2 linked regions of the Drosophila melanogaster genome follow. The protein of the gene in region 1 purifies or fractionates together with the protein of each later gene. This does not show direct contact. Each region holds a gene or a part of one and is shown on either strand. Other genes may lie near its edges.

Region 1 (9,648 bases):
AAGAGCCGCAAAGTACTAATTAACTGGAACTAGAGTCACAGGTGGATTTTCCGAAATTATTAATTGCTGTAACGGAGTCCTTGGTTTATAGGATTGAGTTTTCCGTTTGAATTGATTGGAGTATTTATTTAATTGATTGTTTAATAAATAACATTTTGTTTAGAATTTATAATATGCAAATAACACATACAAGATCACTTTTATTTAATTAAAATGATTGGCAGGCCTTTTAATTTCAGCTGTACATTTTATTTTACTGCTATGACTGTCCCAATATTAAAGTACCAATTTTACAAGTCGAATATACTATAAAAAAACTTCTAGTTGAAACTAAATTCATGTCAAGAAATTAGCAATGCATATCGATGAAAACTCCAACTTCGCTACCTATACGAAAAAACTAAATATATAGATATTTTTGATACGCTTTTACTTCTGAAATTATGTCGTTGTAAGTCTAAATACTTAAAAATGAAACTGAAAGCAACTTTAAGATTTATCTGTATCTTGTGGTCTTTACATACTGTATTCCTATTTTACTGTGGCATGTTCCAATCATTTTGCTGTGCACTTCGTTTTCGAGGCACTCAGTAGAGCAGAGGCGAGATTTATATCAAAGCAAAATTCCTTTTGTATTTAATTTGTTTTTAAGCGAAACTTTTTTGAACTTGTTTACCTTAAAATCCTATTTTAATCCGCGCTATACATAACATTGTTAATAAATGTCTATTTTTCGACAATGACGGTATATTGAAAATAAAACTACCAAATCAACTGCTTCTCAACCAATTGATTGGCAATAATCCTGGAATATTCCACAAGAAGGCTTGGCTGCGAATCCGAAAGCAATTTGGGCTTTCCACCCATGTGTGACTTGCCGCCTTTTGTTGTTCTTCTCCACTCTAATTTGTTTTATTAACAAAGATATTTTATCGCCAATGTCGCGGCACCCATAAAGGTGCTTGATTGCGACGGCGAAGGAGGCGGTTGCTCGGCTCGTACAACGCAAAATGCACTTGCTGCGGGATCGGCTGGGGGTTGCGGGTGGGCGGAAGGGGTTTCTGGAGGGGTTTGGCCCGGCAAACGGCCGTAAAACTCTCAAAAACGTTAAACGAACCGACAAACAGCGAATGCCGCACGACAATGATACGTCTACCATCCATACATATCCATCCATCCACACTCAAATCCGTCTGGCGTCGACGCTCCACCAAGCCACAGATATAGGTTGTTAGATCGGGACTGGAACTTGGACATATCTGTAATGGTCTGATTGCCCCTTGAGTTTTATTTCGGAGTCTGCTTTATGGGCTATGGCGCTTGCTTTGCTTTCTTTATGGATTTATTAACATAATTGAGGGAATATGTATAAATACCATTGAATTCGTAGCAGGTTGTTAATGTCAATGGCGGGGACAGATTCTAATTTACGATGGCCAGATAGAGATGCATTAGAGTGTTTTACAGATTGAAATAAATCTTTCATTGCCGGAAGGGCAATTCGAAATGGATTCTCTGCTTTCGATTCAACTAATCGTCGGGGAACGTTTGTATATTATAATATTATGTATTATGTTTGTAATTGATCAACACTTTCTATTTGATGAAAAAATATTACAATCTTCTATCAAATCTTGCGTTTGTACGACCAAAATTCATGATTCATCTCGAATTTGCCGCCCAGGGGGAGTTACCATATGTTTACATAGATCACTTAGGGATTAGCCTTTTTGTGCGCCCCTAATGACTTCCAGGTAACGGCGTGTTACATGACTTGCCCGTGCCTGGGATGAGACGAGGAGCCCAGCCTTATAGAGCCCACGGGTCGTACCCTTCCAGGCCCAGCCCACGCAGTAAATTCCACCGAATTGTTGACGGTTTGCGAAAAAGAGGAAAAAACAAATCTGGGCTGTGGCTGCCTAATTGTTGTGTGAATTTTATGGGCCGATCGATGGGCAGGTCAACGCATCAGCACCACCTTACAGGCCTTGTTTGGTGTCCTCGTTCCCGTGCGACCTCTACGATCGCATCCTGGTTTCTGTATTCTGGTCTTTGGGTCGCAATGGCGATGGTTATGGCGAAAGCGATCGCGTTCGCGTAATCATAAAATCACCTTTTGTGCGCGGGCCTTCGATTGTTTTACAACATGTTTTGTCTTACGGACATTAAGGGGTTTTTTGTTTGCAAACGAACCCGAACCAGTTTTTGGTAGTTCAGCGTTAATAAGTGAGTATTGAGTACCTCCCTCGCGAGGCCAACTGCCCGGTGTGCTTCTGTTCCCGTGTTCCGCCGAGTCCTTTTCGGGGATATGTCGGTTATCCTCCATTGTGTCAGCTGCATTCACTTCTAATTATTTGACGCGACATTTGCAGTTTGCAGTTTTACGATCCCATACCGAGCATCGAACATCGCGGCAATCAATGAATTTATTTTTTACAGATTTAGAGAGGATTTCTGGAATCTCGGGATTACTCAATCGGCGCGAGCTTAGCGTTCTTTTTAGGGATTACAATTGGGAGTAGCTGTGTGGTATCGAAATTCTTGCGAAAAATTAATAAGAATGGTGTTAGCTGACCTGGAATTTGTGAGGCAGGAATATGTTTAACCAACTATACCTTATTCCAATGAATATATTATATTCCTTTGTGTAAGGAAAAATTATAGTCAGATAGTTTGAAAATAATTGGACAATGATTTCACATTCTAATCTTAGGGTATATTACATGTATAGTTTTATAATTAATGCCACAATATGAATATTTGGAATTTGTTATATTGCCAATATATTATAATAATTAGGCGCGTTTGCAATCTTATGATCACACGCGTGTCTGTCATAAATTATAAATAAATCAATTTATTTATTATTATTCAAATTGCGTTCAATTATTAGTTTTTATGTTAGTGAGGAGGTTTTGTAAATGGGTTTATTGATATTATTAATTCTTTACCGTATTGGGCCAATTTTGCCTTTTGCTTCACGAAATGGGTAACACTTTTGCTAAAGTCGTTATGAAATAATAATCGATATTTCAATTCCACCCATTTGTTAAACTTCCAGCGAAGTTTGATCGAAAATAAGTTCTCATGGGAATTTAAATTGATTAGTCATATTTTTGGTAATGAAGCTGGAAACTTTCGATTTACATTAAATGATAGATCCGTCAAAAGATCACCTCATTTTTAGTACCATCTTTTTTTTTTACATAAGCCCCTTGTATCACATCTTGCACCTTATCAATGCCAGACTTCTTCCGCTATATTTGAGTTCCCTGCGAATTTTTATCGCTGCTTACATGTCAATTATGGCATTAGCTTTACAACTAGAACCGAACAATAGTGCTTTGACAATATCGAGGCGCCCATATAAACAGCGATTGCTTGGCAAACACCAAAAGTCTGGACATCAAGTGTGTGCAGATCAAACACGGTATATGGATATGGAGAATAAAATCCGGAGGATAAAACATTGATTATTCCCCAGATAGAGGTACATATATCGCGACTATTACGACCGTGGCAACATAATTTTACAGCCACTAATTGCATAATACACACGCATCTCCGCAATTACTTAATTAGCCAACGGCAATTGCAATTAAAGTACATACAAATCGAAAGCGGGCCATAAAGGAAAAGGGGTTTTCTTGGCCAAGATATTACGACAAACTGCATACCTGGCTCAATGGGGCGTGGCCACCTGCCTGCCAGCCATCGCAGACCGGTGCGAAAGAGACGGAGCACCAGACAGACGGAGATAGCGGTAGTCAAGCACTCAGGCCATCTTGAATTTCGACCGAGCAACGGAAATGAGGGTTAAAAACGCCCAAGTAAAGGCACTGCTCGTGCGCTAGAAAGAGACAACTAGTGAGTGCCGACTGCGGTGGTTGTTTTTTTTGAGCCTCTCTGCCTGTTTATCTGATTTTCCACTGCTTTGAGTTTTTTATCAGTCGAGTCTTGCTCTACGTTTCAGTACGTGTTCGACCTGCATACTGAGTTGACGTCGCCACGCACGGAATAACATTTCAAATTAGTAGATTAGCCCTGCAAAACAAAAATCCATCTCGTGAGTGAGTGCTGAAAAATAGCGTTTCGAAATATTATCGATATCTCGGTCGTATGTTACTGTGCTCCCAAAAAACACATCACCAGCCAGTGATAACTGTAAAGATTGACAAAGCAAAATATATCCATTATAACCCAAACTGAAACTCCAGAAAATGTGCAACTAAAACATATTGGCCATCAAAGTGATAAGACTTAGAGATTAACGCCGGATTATTGGACACCGGACCGAGCACTGGGACTATCTTCGGAGAAAGCGCACCTAATCTAACCTCAAAATGGTTTCGCACTACTACAACACACTGCCCTACACACAAAAGCACAGTGCCGCCAATTTGGCCTATGCCTCAGCGGCGGGCCAGCCATGGAACTGGACGCCCAACTACCACCACACGCCGCCGAACCACCAGTTCCTGGGCGATGTGGACTCCTCGCATGCCGCCCACCACGCGGCCGCTGCCCACCAGATGTACTACAACTCCCATCACATGTTCCACTCGGCGGCGGCGGCCTCTGCCGGGGAGTGGCACTCACCCGCCTCGAGCACGGCGGATAACTTCGTTCAGAATGTGCCCACGTCGGCCCACCAGCTGATGCAGCAGCACCACCATCATCACGCCCATGCCTCCAGCAGTTCCGCCAGTTCCGGGAGCAGCAGTAGCGGTGGTGCACCGGGTGCGCCCCAGCTCAACGAGACCAACAGCAGCATCGGCGTCGGAGGAGCAGGCGGTGGCGGTGGTGTTGGCGGGGCCACCGATGGAGGACCAGGTTCCGCACCACCCAACCATCAGCAGCACATCGCCGAAGGTCTGCCGTCGCCACCGATTACCGTTTCGGGCTCGGAAATCTCTAGCCCGGGGGCGCCGACTTCTGCCTCGTCGCCGCATCATCACTTGGCACACCATTTGAGTGCCGTCGCCAACAACAACAACAACAACAACAACAACAACAATAGCCCATCCACCCATAACAACAACAACAATAACAATTCGGTGAGCAACAACAACAGGACATCGCCATCGAAGCCGCCATACTTCGACTGGATGAAGAAGCCCGCCTATCCAGCACAACCACAACCAGGTGAGTCCTTAGAGACCCAAGAATATATTAAATACAGATTTAGTGTTTTATGAGGGGGTATGATCGGTTACTTCATAACTTTATGAGTAAGGCTAATAACCTGCTTTTACTGCAAAGTTAAGGTCTATGCTTGCCATTGTCACTAGCTTGTATGAGTTTTTTTTTTTTAATCGAATGTGAAATAAGATCTTACTCACCGAAGGCTTTTAGTCCGAAAGACCTCGATTACCCGAATTTTTGTGTATTCAGCTACTTAGTCATTCCACTGACCTTCGATTCCGCGTACCCTGCGCTTGGGTTTCTCCCGCATCCGCCTGGCTACATTCCGAACCCGAAGATTCCATATTGCCCAGCACATAATGCACTGCATTGTCTTCCCGCCAAGCTCGTGCTGTTCGCGCTTTTCCCTGTCCATCTCTCACGGTACATATATGGGCTTTTATAAGAATCCGTTTGCCTGGCGCGCATCCAAGTCCAAATGGCCAATTAGCTCATAAAAATCAAATTCTGTTCAAGCTTCACTTTTATGATATTCAGTTGGGGTCGCGAGATCCCCGATCCGACGCCTTGATTTATGGCCACCCCGTGTTCACCGTCCACATGAGTGTTTCTGTTTGTTTGCTCCACTCTGTCTCCGTCTCGATTCCGATTCCATTGACTAATTTTGTATCGTAAATCAACTTAACAACTATAAGCATTTGAAAATGGTTTGATCAACTTACCAATAACCAGACAGCATTTGATGGAAAGTCCATCAGAGTAGAGGACTGGACTGTAAAGGCTTAGGAAAGTTAGGGAGTTCGGAACCTATTTCACAGCAATTAGCATTATGTGGAGTGTCTAATTGAAGGTTTCACTATTTTCTAAAAATAGTGAATATTCTGAATAATAAGTGAATAATACCCAATTCGACTCTCTTCTCTCAGTTCATGCAAATTTTCTGTGATTATGTGGATTTCTTGCGTTTTGTTTGCTGTGTTTTCCTACACCTCTGGAAAAACAAGCAAAGGCAATTCAGATGGCAGTGCAGCGATCTCAAACATGAGAAGGAATAAACCACTCACACATTTGTTCACGATTTATGACCCGGGCGCATGTCAAGAAGGGGAAAATGAAGACGACGATATCGACGATATCGACAATAACGCCGATATCCATTAAGCCCATAAAATCTGTTGGCATGCAATTAGCGTTTATGGCCGCTAATCCAGCTGATCAAGCCGACAAGGCGACTCAAGTTTGCCTTATTTATTATTATTCAAAACCCCCTTTAGCCTCCGCTGTCTGAATGTCACCTTTCTGACGCGCGACTGATTGTAATTCTTGCCGTATTTCATTTGCCTAAAAAGCACAAATATTTAAGTAAGAATAAATATTATATAAAAATAAAGTTAGATATTATTTACAGCCACTATGAGCGATCAGCAGCACCTTTTGCCAACACTTTGCTCAGGTATTATCTCTCTGGCATTTTCTTTGAATTGATGGTCTCGCCAAATCGAGTAATAATTAGTAATCTGCCTTTTCCAACAGAAGAGAAGAGGGGGGCTGTGACTAACACTTCGTGATTTTTGATAGAATTATAAAAGGTCCATTTTCCGTTGTCTGCGCGGCATGTGGCGGCATGTGGCGGCAGGGCACGTCGAAGGCCCACTTCAGCTTTCGGGGTGTGGCAATAAAACGGCAACCACGATTGTCGCTGGATGCAGATGCCGTGTACTTTTGTTTCAATGGCTGGTGGTTCGGGCGGGTTTTTCGATTAGATTAGCTAGCGTGGGGAATCAAATAAACGCCCGCCCTGTCAATAAGTCCTGAAAACCCCACCCAACCCATGGGGCTGCGAGTTCTATTTTCTGTTGCTTCAATAATGTGCCGAGTGATATGGAAACGTGGCCACAAAAAAAAAAAAAAAAAGAGTTCTTTGCGTGTTATCTAAAACGTCAAAAGCGTTGTTGATAAGCGATTCCGCTGCGTTTGCGACGGGCATATTGATTAAAACAATATAGGGTCGTAAACCAATAAAAATTAGTATTACTTCCAATAAAAACTAAATAGCGACATTTACGATCAAATCTATGCAATCATTATTAAACGGCAAGAAATTTAAGTGTCCATAGTTCAGAAAAGGATAGTTCCAACAATTCTGGTTTGCCAAAGTTGGCTAAAGTATCCAACCAATTGTATCAGTTATCCAATGTTGCCCAAATAAGGCTCCTCATTCTTTGATCCTTCGATTGGCCAACATCTCATTGCATTGAACGCACTTAGCAATACATTTTTGCTTATTAGCTGTCCGTAATTTATTGTCGTTATAATTTCTCCGGAGAACCAAATGTATCTAGGGGCCCAAGGAGTTCTTACTGGGATTGTCTGTAGATTTTCAGCATTGCCCGTGTTGGGACATAAAAACTAATGCCACCTGACACATTGAGATTTAATGTGTCAATATGCACAGAAAATTTATATCTAGCCACATAAATAATCGAAAAAGAGAGAGAGAGAGAGAGAGAGAAGGAATATATGGCGGGCTTGGATTTATATTGCTTTCCCGACGCATCTGAAAAGTGTTGTACTGCTCCACCGGCGCGGATGGGATACCTTTGTGGTCCGATTTTGGTCTGGGTCCCGCTCCGAGTACCAGTACCGTTCCCGGTCCCAAGATAAGCCATCGAAAATGGCCACTAGCTGCAGTGGAAATATGTTTGGTTCGGTTTCCTTATCAGCACTATCGCTGTTTGCCGATGACATTTACCCTTCCCGTTCACCCGTCCAAAGTTTCCTCCTCCGCTCCTGCACGGGTCAAAAATGAAGTCGATTTTTGGCTGCGACTGATCTACGTGGAGTGTGCGTTTGGATCGGTGATTGACATGATGGGATTAGCATTGGAACTCGCTGGCCAGGCCGTCCCATCTCCCTGTCCGTTTGTCACGGACTTGTTACCAATGTGTCGTTTGCTCTGGGCTTAGTTGTCCAAATAATAGAATAGAATCGTGTTTGGGTTTTCCTGCTCTATTTGTATTGGCCCTGATATTGGTAATAACCAGAAATTCGAGTCTTGTCCCAAAGCCCTGCGCACACAGCCGTATATATGTCCATATACGCATAGGTCTCCACTTTCGTGTACATGTTTTTGATATACCATTCGAGGCGTATCGAGTTTATATTGGAGGCGCTAGGGATTCCGGGGGCTTAAATTGGGGTTACGGACAGCTTACTCAACGGAGTGATAAATTAAAATGGTAGCTGTTCAAAATGGGTGCGAAATGTGTCGGACGATGTGTTATTTATTAATGGAAATTGGCGCATTTTATTTTGATGAATTATAAAACAATGTAGAATGTAAAGACCATGGAAACTAATTTAAACTACTGTACAATCCATTTGGAAATCTTTGCCTCAAGTTATTTTATCAATGAAAGTAAACAGCAAAGAGAGAGTCCAGAAACTGTAAATTATAGCCACGTTTCCTGTTCGCCATAAACCATAATTCCATAATGGGAATACTGCGATGTACATATGTACATAGTTCGTATCGGGAAAACGAGGCGAAAGCCTTTTGTTTGGGGGGCAACTTGGCCAAGTGACAGGGAAATCCGATTGTCAATCAACGAGGTCCGCCTGAATTATGACAACACAAAACGTTGCAATGATGATGGCTCGGACGGACGGATGACACCTGCTAGTGTCTCAGGCCAAAGGCAACCCGCGATTGTATGATTGAGTAGCTGACTGATTGAAGTTTAAGGCTTGATGATTGTGGAGTGGGAGGCGGCAGCGAATTCTGATTCAATTTCGAGTCGTTTGGCGATTCCTTTTATGAGGTGACAACATTTACGATACGGTAGCAAAAACGGAAAGAAAGATTTGTATGTATATGGCCGGTGGCCAACGTTAATCGCTTAACAATACAATAAAGTAGCAATAATTATAAAAACTAAATGAAATGCCCCGCCATCGTATAAATGACCCACAACCATGAATGAACCAGTGCGCGCGAATATATATGATTGCCATATTTGTGATTTTTATGCCCGACTTTGATTAGGATGATTATACGCTTGATGAGCCCGCGGATTACTATTGCCCTTCTTGTTTGGACTGTAGGTATCTCGGTGGTATATGGTGCTCGCCAACTGTGCCACATATGTACTTACATATATTCCCTTCCGATTCTGTTTGCGCCTGCCGCATTTGCTCAGTTTCACCTCGGAGTTCAGGCAAATATTGTTGCACACTGACCCGAACCCCCTGCCTGGGCCAAAAAACACTGAGATAACGGTTAGGGGGCGGGGGGGGGGGGGGGGGGGGCGGAGAATCGGTGGGGAATGGCTGGGGAAATTTATAGTGCTTCCTCGGCGCAGCCGTAAGAATTTATTGCACATTATTTTGTCTAATAGTTTTATGAAGCGCAAATTTACTTTCAATAATGTGGGCTTCAGTGGGCTTTTAAGTATTTATTGTGGCTGTAGTGATCAATGGGTTGATACTGATTTAAAGCGGTTA
Region 2 (9,648 bases), on another chromosome or scaffold:
CTGCCAAGTGAAAATAGAGGCCATTAAGTGTGTGCCCTGCTTCCTGCGGCTCAGTTTCCAGGCCATGGAGACCGAGTCTCACTCCCAAGAGTGTCACCCCGCTAAACCCATTAGCGTCTCCGTAAACGTTCCGGGCGTCAGCTTGAGCCTGGCTACCTCGCGCACGAAGCAGCACTCGTACGGGCTGTTTTGGACGCAAAATCGGCGGGACTGCTTCATCTATTTCGCCCTGGAAACGGAGACATCCTGCCGACGTCACATGAAATGGATGCGGAAGTCGATTAAGAATCTGGAACTTTATCGCCAGGTCTTTCTAGAACAGCGCCGGCTGAGCAGGGGTCCCGGAGGTCTGGGCCCACTGCCTAACCTGCCGGAAACCCTCGACGCTAGCGCTCTCTCTCCGCGAGTCTCGCAAATATACGAGGAGATTTTTGACGGCAGCCGCATCTCCCGCGTCTCAATCGCATCCGGCATTTACGAAGAGATGAAGCCGTCAGTCATGGAGACTCCTTCACCGCCACCGCTGCCCGCACATCCTTACCGTCAGCGAATAAACACTTTTGAGTGCGCCCAGCTTGGCGAGATTGCGCGGTCCAGCACCAATCCCGAATCGGAGCTGGCCAAGAAGAAGAAATACAAGAACATGCTGGACAACCTGTTCGGGAGTTCACGTCAAAAGCGTTCCGGCAGCACCAGCGAGGTGGCCAATGAACCCAGCGATGAGGTCCTGCCACTGTATGAGAATGCCCCCACGCCGGAGCCTGTGCTTCCGGTAAAGCGCACATCCCAGTTGAACAAGTCTCAGCGTAATAGCTTCTCAAGTCCGGACTTGTCCAAACTCAATCTGCTGGACACCTTTGGAGAATACTTCGAGGCCCAGAACCATGAGTCGAGCATGGAGATAAACATTAGTCTGGATGAGTCGGTCATTGAGCCGATCTCTCGCAATGAGATTATTGCGCAAATATCTAGCCAATTGGGCAAAGCAGACTCTTTGGAAAGTCTGAATGTTTCGGAGCAACTTCCGTACAACTTCAACTTTTCCGCTTGTAACACGTCAACCATCAATCTCATTGGATCGCATGGAGCTGTTCCGCAGAGTAATCAGCTAAAGAAAAATAAGATACTGCACGAAGACCTTACGGGATACTGTGTAATGGCACCCATTTTAAAGGCGACGGTAAAAGATTTGCCACCACAGCCAGGCGGCAGTACAGTGTCCACATCCTCCGGATATTCCACGGGCTCCTACTGCTCCTCCACCAGCAGCTGTAACACGGAGGACCAGCCCACCAAGACGCAGATCGCCAATGAGAGTGACATATACGAAGTCATGCATGGAACCTCTCTGAACAGTACCGTCGGAGCGGCTGCAGCTGGATTTGCGGAACACCTCTACGAGAACCTTTTGGCTGTGAAGGCCGCACAGGAGCTGGAGGCGCAGCCTGTCGGCTTTGGACTGAGCACAAGCACACCCACCGAATCTCCCCTGGCGCCGGCCTTGCCGCAAAAGGGAACGCCCAAGGACAAAACTTTGCAACAGAAGCCAGAGGAGGAAAACTACTACCAGACACCAAGAAAGTCGATTATCAGTGTGGACGACAAGATACCCTCCTATTATCCGAACAGCTGCGACACACTCAAGTCAAAGCGACGCAGTCCCACCGAACATGGACCTAGTTTTAGGCACTTAGTCAGTTCCAAGTTGCGACGTGAACGAAAGGAGAACCTCTACATTTCCTCGCCCCAGCAAATCATTGAGCAGCGTCACAAGGCGGCCACCATCTCATCAGCATCAGTATCAGCCAAGACTAAAAGCTCAACCAAAAAGACTGCCGCCCACAAAATTTCTGACAGTGTTTATGCAGTCACCCATCCGGTAAAGCGTCCGAACAGCACCAATAGCAACAATACCCACCAAAGCAACAATAACAATAACAATGAAGGCGTGGATGACGAACTGCTGCACTTGACCGTTTTGAAGAACATTGACTTTAAGTTTGATGATAGCCAAGCATCTGAGGATTCCTGCAAGGCGAAAGCATCTGCTCTTCCCGTAGCGAACGAATGCTTTGTACAGCCAAATCTGGAGAAGGAGTACGAGGATCGCTTTCAAGCGGCGGAAAAGGCTAGTCGTCTTTTGCAAAAGTATGCGACGCTGGCCAAAATCGGGCATTCGCCCAGCAAGGCGTTGCCCGCACCAGCGCGTCTGGAACCCATGATTCAGTCTGTGGCCACGTCCAATGAGTTGCAGCCCGAGGGAGGCACCATGAAAAAGTTCGCCTCCCTACCACGCTTCAAGAAAATTGACTTTTCGCCGCTGAAGATGAGACTCAATAGTGTCCTCCAGAGAAATCCACCTTCGCCGCAGCACTAAAATGGATTCTCCGTTTTCCGTAACCATGTTTAACACTTCGCTGTGGACACAAACTGCTTTTTAACCATTTCGCTATTTATGTTGTAGTTTCTTGTGAATGTGATCTGATTAGTTCGACAAGTTGATTATTATGTTATCCGAGTATATAATACGCTTTCCCACGATGCACTTAGTATTAAGCCTTATATGTATGGTCATCCTGCTTTGTCAAATGTATTTTAACGAACCATATCCGGATCCACTTGGGGGGTCCCCTAGTATTACTACTGTTGTGAACCAACGATGAATGTCTAAGAATATGCTCAATTATGAAAATTTACAAAAACGCTTTTATACGTATTAAACCAAAAACCACATTGTTGACTCATTTAGGCGCCTTGTTGTTAAAGAAAAACTAAATTTAGCTAAACAATTTTCAATTCTACAGATGATTAATCGTCTACCAAAATGGGCTTACGCCGCATCAGATATTTTTTGGCGGCGTAGCCTGAACTACGCTTTTCGGCTTCGCATAACATATCAGAGATTAGTTAAACTTACAATAAAATGCTTCAAGATAGCATAACCAATGCTGAACTGTACCGTGACTAAACCATAAGCTTACAAATAAAATATGCCACAAAAATGAAGTAAACTTTACAAGCAAATGAAAAGGTGTTTGTTTGTTTTCAAGAAGGAATCACTTTATTTGCTCACTGTCTTAACTGTAAACCATGGGTCGTCGCCGTTCGTTTATAAACTCCTGTTCCACTCGCGAATCCTTGTGCACCACATAGAAGAGCAGAGCGCCACCGGAAACGAAAAACCCCTTTTCGGCGATTATCTCGGCCAGCTGCTTCTCCTCGTCCACCTTGTGGACACAGCCCACCTTGCGGTTCTCGTAGTAAACGTGCACGTTACCCAGGCGGTAGTTGTGTGCCTTGTCGTATGGCAGCTTTTCGGTGAGCAGCGTCGCCAGGCAATCCCGCATGGTGGTGGTCTCCGGCAGCTGCTGATAAAAGTCGCTGTACAGGAACTCGGGGTAGGAGAACGCAGCCGGCCAGATCAGAGTGCTGCCGTCCTCGTCTAGGTGCACCGGATGGTCCTCCAAAGGCAGAAACTTTGGATAAAGGAGCTCCTCACTGAGGACGTCCTTTTTGCCAACTTTTTGATCGTCAAACTTAATGGCGCGCTGCTCGATGGCGTCGCGGAGTCTGTGGAAGCGTGTAAGCCGTCGCTTTGCCTCGGCAGCTTCCTTGCGCTGATTGCGTTCTATCTCGAGCTACGGAAATAACTTGTTTAATGTGGGTTCCTATCCAGTTGGATCACGTATTCTAACCTTCTTCATCTTGTTCTTGTGCAGCAGCGCGATGGCCACCTCGTTGTCGACGTCCACCTCGAGCAGCTCCTCGCACATCTGGGTGCACAGATCGAACCTCTCCAGCTCGTACGCACACTGTGCCGACCGCCAGCGGGCCTTTGTGTAGTCTGGCTTGTAGAACAGAGCTCGCTGGGCGTCGCTCAGCGAGGATCTGTAGTTCTTGATGAAGAAGTGAGCCGCCGAGCGGTTGTTGTAGAGAACGGCTAGCACGTCGGGATTGTCCGTCTTGGTCTTGATGCCCTCGGTAAAGCTGTAGATTGCCATGCGGAACTTCTTGTGCTTCATGTAAAAGTTGCCATCCTCCTTGTAGTTGAGCGCCAGCTCGTCGCGCGTGTTCTCCTCCGGATCGTACTTGAGCTTCTGCAGACCCTCGAACATCGGATGCACGTCATCCCCTGGCTGAGGAGCACGTTTCATGAAGAACGGGTGCTTGTCCATCTCCTCCTGCCAGCGGTCCTCCGGCCAGCCCTCCTCGTAACGTTTCTTCTCCAGGCCATCGATAAACGCATCCAGTTCCGCGTCCAGCTGGGCCGCCAGCTCCAGACGCTCCTCATCCGTCCAGGCTTTTTGTGCCGCCATTTGTTTCATTTGGTCTAATCAGAAACAGTGTGACCGCAGACGAACCGTTACAATATACCAACTGGCCAAAGGTGCCGCACATTTCCTAAAGGTGGCGCCTCTAAAATAAGGGTGGCCCTCCGTCTATCGATAGTCGTACGCTTCCTTCTTTAAACGAGCTAAACTCGGAACGAATTATGATCTTAACATCTTAAATCTTAACATGGTAAAACTTTAAGCCTTTTGACGCTTTACGCAGCTGTTGTGATATATCAGAAACATCGATAGTCGCCATAACATATTGTTATTGTATGAGAGTTTTAAAATTATCGATGCGCTGATGACCCCTTCATCGGCGTTTTCCCACCCCTAATTGGCAGAGACGCGACTGAGCTGGGACGTACCGTTACCGTTGGCAGAGACGCGACTGAGAAATAAAATTAAAACGTCGACGTTCCTTCCTCGTAGAAGAAACCAATCAAAATAAAAACAAACAGAGCGTGCGTTCGCGCCAAATACTTAACAACAATTAGCAAACGTAAGAAGCAAAGTGAGTGTCGTCGGCTGCGGGAGCCCGTGTGCCCAGTTTGGAACTGGGATCCGACCCAGTCCACGTCCGTCTCGTCCCCGCTAAATTTGTAACTCTTGTTTCCCCGTCTTGTCCCCTCAGTGCATACCCTCACGGCGGCCATTGAGATGGACAAGCTGGATGCCAATCTTGAGCAGCAGTTTGATCTCAATCTCATCGAGGCTGTCAAGCTGAACCCAGTGATATACGACAGGTCGCACTACAATTACAAGCACTTTGTGCGCAAGGCCCAGACCTGGAAACAAATCGCCGAAACGCTCGGTGTGCCTGGTAAGTGAAATTCGGCTGGTTTTGGCTACGGGTTTTCTGCTTTCTGTCAGCCGTCTTCGGTCCGTGCCCCAACCAGCCCCAGCCAATTGATTAATTCTGTGCGGGCGCAGGTCGAAGGGGCGGGACAAGTCAGTCGACGACGACGACAGAAAACGACGCAAAAGTGAACGGCGACGCGGCGCAGTAGCTGGCTGATGGTTAGGAAATGGCAGGGGGGGATCTATACGTGTGAGGGTGGGCGCGGGCTGCACCGCTCATAAATTGCATTTTATGCGAACTTTTTTTACTGCATTTATATGGTTGCATTTAGAATACAGTTCATTAGTAATTAAACCTAGGTTAATTTCTATCTGTAAAGATCTGCTCTAAAATGAGCGCCCCTTTCGGGCGCTCGGACTGCGGCCCTGCTTGCTCTGTCGGTGTGCAGACTGTGCTCAGTCGATATTTTTGAAGTTGCTGTACTTTGCCGTCGCGTCGCAGTAGTTGTCTCGCTCGCTCCGCAGCCATTCTGCTTGCGCCAGCGTTTATTTTCGTACACTGCGACTGCGATGTGCGCTGCTCACACACGTATACATGCATACAGCATACAGTGGCAGAAAACAGTTTGGCACGGGTTATAAATACGTATTTATTAGTAAAATAAATAAGTTGCTCAGTTCTTTAGACGAAACTATGGATTTTATTTTAATATTGAATAGGATGAGAATTCGGAAAATTAAAATATAGGGCTTTGGAAAGGTCAATAGATAAGCACAAATTAGAACAGCTGTGTCAACACTTCAGAGTCCCACTGTACATACCGGAGACCGACCAGGCAGCTTTCGTTTCGTTTTCATGAGTATACCAACAAAATGTACCGTTCACCCCACCCCCTCGACGGCCGTTGATCGAACCTTAAATTTTCGGCCAAATCGCTGCACCTCATCCGCTTTCGATTATGCAAGTAGGTGGCTGGAAAGCTGGAGTTGCAGTCAAGTGGAGCCAGCAGCAATGCCACAGGTTTCCGTCTCCTGGCAGCGGGCAGCGGGAGTCGGCGACGTCACAGCCACCGTCACGTCAACGTCTCTGCTGGCGCTGGGAAGCTGCTGTCCGCTGCCTTCCTTCTGCCACCGACGCTGCTGCTGCCAACGGTTTGTTTTGGTTCCCGATTTGATGCTTCTTTGGGTGGGTTTGATGGCATAGTTCTAGTTTCTGCACAGTTCCGGACTACACTAGTCCAGAGCTTCTTGAAGAACCTTCTGTGGAGAACCGCCACGCACAGCTGCGCAGGTGTGCTTGCACCGGTTGTTATGAACAGGTCTTCGAGAAAAAAGCATTTATTCAATGTAACAGAAACAAGATTTTAGTTTATATTAGATTTGTAATATTTTCAGAAACATTTCATTTACTTACGAATCTGGTTTCTTTTTTCTTTTCATTTATAGAGGTATACTTTATCAAGCATTTGACGGGTTACCCTATAAAATAAAATACATACAGTTTGTCAAGAAACTGTTTACACACTGTGAAATAAGTTGAATTTTTGACTTTAAAGCTAAAAATAAAGGGTTTTTTGCTTAATTAAACGCAATTTTTTTTATAAAATATAATTAAACAATATTTATTTTACTTATAAATCAAAAAACAAATTAAAAATATTAAATATACAAGAAAATAAACAACAAATTCCAAGTTTACACACTTTTGAGACTGTCAAGAAACTCTTTACACATTTTGTTTTCCTACTTTGTTTTGTTCTTTTTCTTAGAACGAACTCGATTTTTCCGTTATTTTTGGCTTTGCATTGCTTTTTACAACGCTTCTATTGAAATTTGTTGACTTTGCTTGTGAAATTTTGCTGATCAAACGTGCTTAAAGCGAATTATTAAATTTAATAAAATGCCTGGAAAGAGATTAACTTTTGAAGTTACCCAATTAATAAACTATAACCACCAGTTGGGAAAATCTTTTCCAGAATTAGTATAAATGTTTCCTGTATCCCGTAAGACCGTCTACAATGTTTTAAAAGGCTCGGAAAAAGAGGGCAGGCTTGAACCTAAGAGTGGTGGTGGGCGGAAAACCAAAATTAACAAGCGAGTAGACCGCCTTATCATGCGAAAAGTGATTGCGAACCCCTGAATCTCGGTCAGATCACTTGCTCAGGATATCAGGGAAGAATGTCACCTAACTGTGTCACACGAAACTGTGCGCCAAGTCATCCTACGCCATAGGTACTCTTCAAGAGTTGCAAGAAAAAAGCCTTTGCTATCAGAGATCAATATTGAAAAGCGTCATTCATTCCCTGTGAATGATGGATCATGCGGAAGAGTACTGGGATGACGTCATATTTTGTGACGAAACAAAAATGATGCTCTTTTATAACGACGGGCCAAGCAGAGTATGGCGCAAACCGTTGAGTGCGCTAGAAAAACAAAATATCATTCCAACGATAAAATTTGGAAAAATGTCACTGATGGTGTGGGGCTGTATCACCAGCCGTGGAGTGGGAAAACTAGCCTTAATTGAGAGCACAATAAATGCCGTGCAATATCTAGAAATGTTAGAAAACAAATTTGAAGGCCAGTGTAGAAAAAATTAGTCTGGTTAGCAACAACAAGCCAAATTTTAAGTTTTACCAGGACATGATCAGAAACATAAAGAGTGCAATGTACGCACCTGGCGCCTTAATAACTGTGGTAAAGTGATCTATACGCCCCCTCAGAGTCCTGATCTGAACCCCATTGAAAATTTGTGGACCTACTTAAAGAAGAAGGTGGCAAAAAGGGACCTAAAACACAACAACAGCTTATGACTGTAATAGTCGAAGAGTGTGAAAAGATCCCGTTTGAATATGACCTGCAAAAACTTGTCCAATCCATGAAAAAAAGGCTTCAACTTGTAGCTAAAGCCAATGGGGAACATACTACATACCAAAACTTTTAAAATTTTAATAAAATAATTAAAAAATTTAGGATTAAACTTCGATTTAGTGTTTTGTGTAAAGAGTTTCTTGACAGTCTCAAAAGTGTGTAAACTTGGAATTTGTTGTTTATTTTCTTGTATATTTAATATTTTTAATTTGTTTTTTGATTTATAAGTAAAATAAATATTGTTTAATTATATTTTATAAAAAAAATTGCGTTTAATTAAGCATAAAAAACCCTTTATTTTTAGCTTTAAAGTCAAAAATTAAACTTATTTTACAGTGTGTAAACAGTTTCTTGACAAACTGTACATTTATGTACGTATGATATGCTGATATATGTACATACATATGTACAGTGACGCACCTAATTATAGGCACAGTCTTTTTTTTTTTATTTATTTCTATCACTTCATTTATTTGGAGGATTTGCAGCTCACGAAGAATGTTGATAAATTTAACTTTTCGCACTAGGATCATAAGGAAGGCGAAGGTCGCCCGAAAATCCAATCAGTTCACATTGCAGCCTATTTTAAAACCAAGGGAGAAGGCAATAATAGTCAGATGCCCTTTTCTTCGCAAACGTTTTTTTCTTTAAGTGGTAGTTTAGGAAAGTGTATGATGAGTTTGAACATTGCATCTCGTTGCTAGAGTAAACAATCTATATTGAGTCAGCCAGCTCATCCGTTTAGCCGATGTAAAATATTGTTTAAGTTAGCTGATGGACTTTTGGAAACATGTGATACATATTTTCGGCTTACTAAAAACATTTTTTTTATTATTTTTTAAGTGAGTCATTAGAAAGGCAGTCAGTAATTTCTCAAAAAAATGTGACGCAAATTTCAGACGAAATATGAGCTTATGCGACCTTTTTAAAATCTACCAACCAAGCAATAAAATAGTAGATTGAGTTTTCAGAACTTAAGGCTTCTTTATTTTGGATCATACATATATTAAATGTGGGTTAATAGACAATGCATACATAAAGGCAACATTAGTTTAATAACTATTAAATATGGACATTTAATAATCATAAACCAACAACTCTTTTTCATTTTAGAACAAAAATGTACGAAGCGCTGGAAGAGTCTGCGCGACAAGTTCGCCCGCGAGATGAAACTATGTCAGGAATCGCGCTGGCGTTACTTCAAGCAGATGCAATTCCTGGTTGACTCCATCCGCCAGTATCGAGAGTCGCTGCTCGGCAAGTGCGCCAATGGGAGTCAAAGCGCCAACCAGGTGGCCGATCCGTCGCAGCAGCAGCAGGCGCAGCAACAGACCGTCGTGGATATATTTGCACAGCCCTTCAACGGCAGCGCCACAACCTCGGCCCAGGCACTGACCCATCCGCATGGTAGGTGAACCAGCATTTCAGCACCAGAGATCCCTGCTAAATACTTCGGTCTCTTGCAGAAATTACTGTCACCAGCGATGCACAGCTGGCCACTGCCGTGGGCAAGGACCAAAAGCCATACTTCTACGAGCCGCCGCTCAAGCGAGAGCGCAGTGAGGAGGAGCACAGCGACAACATGCTCAACACCATCAAGATTTTCCAAAACAACGTCTCGCAGGCGGTCAGCGCCGAGGACCAG

The links.
Region 2: the proteins of cad (region 1) and Adf1 purify together in Drosophila melanogaster (affinity purification with western blotting; one study listed by BioGRID). This does not show direct contact.

Annotation. Positions count from the first base shown.
Region 1 is NT_033779.5:20,766,765-20,776,412, forward strand, and holds the start of cad (caudal), read left to right. Parts: upstream 1-3,966; 5' UTR 3,967-4,343; coding exon 4,344-5,145; intron 5,146-9,648. UniProt on the Drosophila melanogaster protein: Caudal (cad) is one of a number of transcription factors controlling segmentation of the embryo.
Region 2 is NT_033778.4:6,657,604-6,667,251, forward strand, and holds the start of Adf1 (Adh transcription factor 1), read left to right. Parts: upstream 1-4,666; 5' UTR 4,667-4,844; coding exon 4,845-4,845; exon of another isoform or gene 4,846-4,965; coding exon 4,966-5,154; intron 5,155-5,791; exon of another isoform or gene 5,792-6,453; intron 6,454-6,546; exon of another isoform or gene 6,547-6,592; intron 6,593-9,116; coding exon 9,117-9,410; intron 9,411-9,469; coding exon 9,470-9,648. Other genes in the region: sced (scrambled), read left to right, coding at 1-2,377; Dpit47 (DNA polymerase interacting tpr containing protein of 47kD), read right to left, coding at 3,078-3,638, 3,696-4,325. UniProt on the Drosophila melanogaster protein: May play an important role not only in the regulation of Adh expression but also in the transcription of other genes.